2 linked regions of the Kluyveromyces lactis genome follow. The protein of the gene in region 1 binds, or shares a complex with, the protein of each later gene. Links are inferred from orthologs where the notes say so. Each region holds a gene or a part of one and is shown on either strand. Other genes may lie near its edges.

The links. Proteins that work in one complex are often made in the same cells at the same time.
Region 2: the proteins of PET112 (region 1) and GTF1 are in contact, whole or in part, in a crystal structure (PDB 4N0I), measured with the Saccharomyces cerevisiae proteins. The link is inferred for Kluyveromyces lactis from reciprocal best matches to the Saccharomyces cerevisiae genes PET112 and GTF1. Residues at the interface, in NP_009473.2 of Saccharomyces cerevisiae: Asn43, Ser47, Gln48, Ser49, Thr50, Pro60, Asn61, His62, His63, Thr64, Ser65, Tyr66, Ile69, Leu71, Leu78, Asn79, Leu80, Glu81, Ile83, Leu84, Phe109, Gly111, His163, Val171, Ile172, Thr173, Leu174, Val175, Asp176, Leu177; in NP_011616.3 of Saccharomyces cerevisiae: Arg79, Leu80, Ser81, Gly82, Thr130, Lys131, Gln132, Leu133, Asn134, Tyr135, Leu138, Gly141, Ile142, Gln145, Lys146, Gln147, Ala149, Glu150, Leu151, Gly152, Glu153, Ser155, Gly156, Trp158, Ala160, Thr161, Leu163, Lys168, Ala170, Tyr171.

The regions. Positions count from the first base shown.
Region 1 is NC_006041.1:1,835,611-1,839,195, forward strand, and holds PET112 (glutamyl-tRNA(Gln) amidotransferase subunit PET112), read left to right. Parts: upstream 1-1,447; coding exon 1,448-3,067; downstream 3,068-3,585. Other genes in the region: KLLA0_E20637g (uncharacterized protein), read left to right, coding at 133-1,068; KLLA0_E20681g (uncharacterized protein), read right to left, coding at 3,532-3,585. UniProt on the Saccharomyces cerevisiae protein: Allows the formation of correctly charged Gln-tRNA(Gln) through the transamidation of misacylated Glu-tRNA(Gln) in the mitochondria. The reaction takes place in the presence of glutamine and ATP through an activated gamma-phospho-Glu-tRNA(Gln).
Region 2 is NC_006040.1:1,295,576-1,298,077, reverse strand, and holds GTF1 (glutamyl-tRNA(Gln) amidotransferase subunit F), read left to right. Parts: upstream 1-1,448; coding exon 1,449-1,973; downstream 1,974-2,502. Other genes in the region: mRNA-binding ribosome synthesis protein NOP7, read right to left, coding at 1-923; rhomboid protease PCP1, read right to left, coding at 2,064-2,502. UniProt on the Saccharomyces cerevisiae protein: Allows the formation of correctly charged Gln-tRNA(Gln) through the transamidation of misacylated Glu-tRNA(Gln) in the mitochondria. The reaction takes place in the presence of glutamine and ATP through an activated gamma-phospho-Glu-tRNA(Gln).

The DNA of each region.
Region 1 (3,585 bases):
GATGATACCAGAAACCTTGGGTCCTGATTATAAGTTCAAAATTAAGTAAATTATCAATTAAATCTCCTGCTTTGAAAAGTACTACCCGGCAATTTTCCTATAGAAAAGCGTTCGCTCAAACAGAAGGCAAAAATGGTCGGAAAGCTTAGAAGAAAGATCCCATTGGATAACCAAGATGTTAATACCCAGCCGGCGAAAAGGATGTGCTTAAAAAAAAATATCCTATTGGAAGATTTGAATAAGGAGAATATTCCGATTGAAATACCTTACTTAAACGAAAGCCCTCAATCAGCTAGCAGCAGCCTTACAGGGGTTTTGAACTTACATCTCGAAAAACAATCTCCACAACGCAAAAGGCTGTCCACCAATATAGAGACGGACACTGTGTTAGATACGAAAAAGCAAGAAGTTTTGACTTCTTTAAAGTTAGAAGAATTACAAGATAATTTTAAGGACCTTGAAAGAAGATTAAGCATTCAAAATCGTGATTATTTCATCAAAGACGCTCACTATTCAGATGAAGATTTGACGAAGTGTAGAACTAATTTTTTGTTTGAATTGGAATGCTTACCAAACTTGAGCTGGTCTCAAAAAGGTAACCTTCGAACTGCTAGCTATATTCCGTCAGTGTACCAAAAGTTGGACCCAAATTGGTATTTTTCACAGGCGTTTTCAATTGATGATTTTACCAACTTGCCTGAATCAGTTAAGCCATTCTATATATTAAACCCAATGAATGAAGTACCAGAGTGCAATAACCAACAAATTGAACCAGTTGGACCGGAAAAGGCAACTGTGCATATTGAAAACATCGAACCTCTTTCTAAAATGATACCCAGCTCCAAATTAAAATTCCGTGCTAAGTCGTGTGCTTTTGATGAAGATATTGATTGCCAACTGTTGTTTAAGCAGAAAATTTCAGATTGTAACTATTACGAAGACGAAGTTGATCAAATATCACTACCAGATAGTTTGGATCACTGTAGATCTGTTAAGAAAAAGGTTACGGACGGAAAGAAATCTTTGAACAGAAACTCTATTCTATTCCACACCGATAAAAGGAACTAGTTAGAAACAATAATTATGGCTGTTCGAAAACCAAGATAATTCTGAAACGGTGTATAATATTTATGAAAAATGTATAAAACAGAATAAGGCAAACAAAGCTCAAACTATCCAAATACACTGTGTGCACAAGTTATGTCACTTTCAATCGTCAGTTAAATAAATCTGTCATCGTGCTTATGGCACATTTTCTAAGGTTCGGGTAAAAAACATGAAATTTGAATTAACAGAAGCAATGAACATGAATATAAAGACAAACATACTTGACAAAAGAACGGCTTTTAGGCGCTGTGTGTTAGTGATTTTACCAACTGCTTATTAGCTGTTTTTGAATTTCTAGTGGGTGTTATACTACTGAGTGATAAGCTATAAATAACCAGAAATGTTGGTGTTTAGAAGGAACTATGCTAAGAGGAATACTGGTTCCAAATTCAAAATTCTTCCTGAGTATAAGTTAAAATGCGGACTTGAAATCCATACTCAACTGAATACAGACAATAAGCTTTTTTCAATGTCAACTAACAGCCCGTTTGCAGATGTGGATAAGCCAAACTATCATACATCGTATTTCGATGTTTCGATACCCGGAACACAACCAATACTCAACTTGCAGGCAGTTCTATTTGCATTGAAGTTATCGCTAGCATTACGATGCAAGGTCAGTCTAAACTCACATTTTGACAGAAAACATTACTTCTATGGTGATCAACCATTGGGCTATCAAATCACACAACATTACAATCCTTTCTCAAGTAAAGGTAAACTACGATTGTACAAAGATTTAGACTCTATTGAAGAGGCTTTCAAAGACATATCTGTCATTCAGTTACAGATAGAACAGGATACAGGTAAATCTGTATATAACTCTACTGACTCCAATACAAAAATCGACTTAAATCGTTCGAATGTGCCATTGATCGAAATGGTGACTGAACCCGATTTTACAGACCTAAAACAGATAAGAGCTTTCATCAAGAAATATCAAAACCTTGTCAGACATTTGAAGATATCTACAGGTGACCTTGAAACGGGCGCGATGAGGGTTGATGTAAATCTTTCTATTAATGATTACGCCAGAGTAGAGTTGAAGAATTTACCAAATACTAGCTCAATCACTAATGCTATCAAATACGAATACAATAGACAAGTTAACATGATAGAAAAAGGCGAAGGTGACCAACTCAAACACACAGAAACTAGGGGATGGACAGGTTCGGAAACTGTTAAACTCAGAACTAAGGAAAGTATCATAGACTACAGGTATATGCCGGATCCAGAACTACCAAATATTCTTTTAACCAATGAAATAGTTGAAGGAGTAGAAAAGACAATTCCAACGTTACCAGACGATACCTGTATGATGTTAATGCAAGAGCCCTACGGTCTAACTTTAAAAGATGCAAAAATTCTCACAATCAATAGTAATGGCCATGATGATTTGTATTCCCATGATGAATTAAGAGCATGCTATTTTAGTACATTTGATGCATATCACTCATTATGCAAGAAACAAAACGAAGAGTTCGTGAGAAAACTACCTGCAAATTGGATAATTCATGAACTTTTGGGAAACCTAAACAAGATGGAAATTCCTCTCATCAAAGTTTCCCATATTCTACCTCCGGAGAAATTTGCTGAATTACTCTTGCTAATCTCTAAGAAAACCATCAGCAACGCCAGTGGTAAGCTTTTATTATCGCATATTTTGAATTCCTTTAAGGAGAACTCTTTTGTGGCTTCTGAGCCAATAAATTTCAATGCTCTAATTGAGGAATTTGAGCTACATGCAGTCTCAGATGTTGGTTCGGAAGAGCTCGAATTAATTTGTGAAAGTATAATTACCGAACTCAACAATAACAAAATGATTGAAGATATTAAATCTGGTAAGAAGAAAAATTCTATTAAGTTCCTTGTCGGTCAGGCCATGAGGATATCTCAAGGTAGAATACAAGCTCAAGAATTCGAAATTACTTTCAAAAGACTTCTTGGTGTTGAACCGTGATTACATTCCTTCGCTAACATGTCCACACTATCATCCATGTAAATACAGAATAGATAAGTTCATAATGAACATACTACGATCCAAAACTATTTTAAGATTATTCAAAGGATAATTCACCGAAATACCTTTTAACTACCTGACTAATATGAAAGTATATACCATTTATAAAATTTCCTTACTATAAACCTTGTATACCAAGTGTGTAGAACCATTCTACAAATACTGAATAAAAATATTAGGGTACCCATACCATTGAAAAGAAAAATTAGGCAGTCACCTTCTTAAGGTAATTGCAACAATAAACAAAATCCAGGTTTGGAAGAAATGAAGAAATAGAAACTTCAGGCTATAATTAGAGGGGAACCGAACTTACAATGTACAGTTTTTCGGAAAGATGAAACTACTCATGGGTTGTGTAGTTGCATTAGTGGAATATCGCATAAATTTCGAAACGTTGAAATTCTTTAACTCCAAACGCTCATGTCAGAATTCCAGATGGAAACAGAAGAAGTAGTTGG
Region 2 (2,502 bases), on another chromosome or scaffold:
TCTTCGTCATGTTCATTAGAGTCTGCCTTCAAAGCGGTCTTTAAGGTATTAGCTCCCAATTCCTGAACTTCAACGTTTTCCGATAGCTCCTTTGGTTTCACAGCCAACGAACTCTTCTCATCATTAGATTCCAAGATGTATGCACTTAATCCCCCGATCAGCTTGTTCTTCTTAATATCCAACTTCGGAGGATATACCAAACCGGCATCTGTGTACAACTTGAACAAAACGAAATGCAACAAAGTAGAGTAAAACTCCAAGAAAGTTAACATGATCCTGAAATCGACATCGCTTGGAATATTTTCAGGGAACTTGTATGGTACCAACCATCTGACATCTTCACCTTTTACACTGGCTTGGTAATAAACACCCTTGATGGAAACAAATACCTTACGTACGCATCTTTCCTTGGCAATGTATGCAGACCATTGATCACACATTTGCTGTGCACTTTGTGTGATTCTAGAAGACACTTGATCGGTAGCTGGCAAGTTGGCGAACAAGAACAACATGTTCAAGGCATCGTCCACATCTCTCAAGGCATCAGCAAAAGATGGATAACGTTCCTTGATGATATTATCTAATTGATAGTTAGGTCTGTTCTCTTCCAATCTCTTAGCTGCTGACACTTCTCCTCTCCCTAGAGCCTTAGTCAACTTTTTAGCAAAAGTCTTATGTTCTCTGAACTTGGCCAATACAGGCTCATGCATCAAATACTGAATATCCTTATAATAATAGAAAGTGGTAGGAGCCGTAGATCCTTTATTAGCCTTCTTCTTATTCCTAGGTTCTCTGGGGTAAATACCCTTGAAGATACACAATCTTCTAAAATCAGCTAAAGAGATCTGTAGTTTACGAACGGCCTGAGACCTGGTAATGAAGTTTCTAGCATTACCTCTGGTATTTCTCTTCTTAATTCTCATCTTGAACAAAAAAAAGTATCTCTCCTTGTCTAGTTAGTTAGCTATCTTTTAAACCTGAACCTGGAAGATTACTCTAGCTTATCAAATTGAATCACTTTATAACTTAACTAGAACCACCAAAGACAAGCTATCGAGATAGCAATTGTCTATTCAATCATTCATTGTACGTATAATAAGTGATGTATGTGCAATTTGTATTTGAAGCTCATCGCATCTCATCGCATCTCGAAAACGAAAATTTTCAGAAATTGAAAAAGAAATTATCAATCACGTGATACAAATATTCAGACTTAAGTTGACTACATCCCAAAAGGGGAATATTTGGGGCACAATATCAAAACCGTACAAGATGAGTTTCTGAATTTATTCACGTGATCATTAAAATGTTTAATTACAGCTTGCACGTCGGAAATGTAAAGAAAGGTTCCTTATTCTGACTTTTAAATTTGAAGAGGATAAAAACGTTGTGACTGGTATATTCCCGGGCTCTCACCTGTATATCTCAAACATCTCATACCAATAACAATGCTTCTTGCTTTAAGAAGAAAAGCAATCCACGGCATTCGTTTCTCCAGTGGTAAATGTGGTCAGAATTTGAGTGGCTCCACGATAGGACCGAAATTTACCAGCGATAAAGAGGTTGAAGAATTTTTGAGTAAGAGTACATGGGATGTACGAGAATATGTTCCCTCATCGGTAGATGAGAAATTGATTCCATCAGAAGAAACTGTGGTGAGATTGTTAAAGATTTCCGGACTTCCAATAAAGAATATAGACCAGATTCAAATCAGGCTTGCGAACCAACTTTCGTTCATCAACCGTTTGCATAATCTTCCTGTTGACGAAAATATAAATCCAAACCATGCAAGAATTATAGAAAGGAATCCAACTCCGTTGGATTACGAGGGATTAATCAAAGGGATTGCAAGCCAGCAGAAATCGGACTCATTGGGCGAAATAAGCGGATCATGGGATCCTACCAAAACCGCTGCAGTGAAAAGAGATGGGTTTTTCATCTTAAGGGAAGGCCTACTTAAGGGAAGAGATTGAATATTCAGGGTTGGGACGAAATAGCCCTTTATTTTAACTCATATGTACTATTTACAGAGGTAGAAGAAGTAAAAAGATGGTAAGTATAACTCAGAATCTTGGGAATACTCCAAGGGATAACCTTTTCTCTCTTTGTTTCTGGATAGACTTCGCAACTAGCCATCCGTACAATACACCCATCGCAGAACCACCTAAATGTGCTGCATAATCGAATGACCCCCATCTCAATGCGCATCCTACGACGTTCCATGTCACTAATCCAAGGAATGTGAACCATGCACCGAATGGCACCGGAAAGATGAAGAACATCATCTTAGCGTTTGGAATCAAGTACGAGAAACAACCGAATAATCCGAAAAGAGCTCCGGATGCTCCCAAACTAGGACCCATCATAGCAATTTTAGCAAACCTGGGGTACCATAGAGAGAAAAGGGAACCAGCAATAGCACTGTTAAGATAGAGACTGGTGAAATTTCCAGGTCCCAACATCGTGACTAAACTGGTACCGAAGGAGAACAAACATATCATG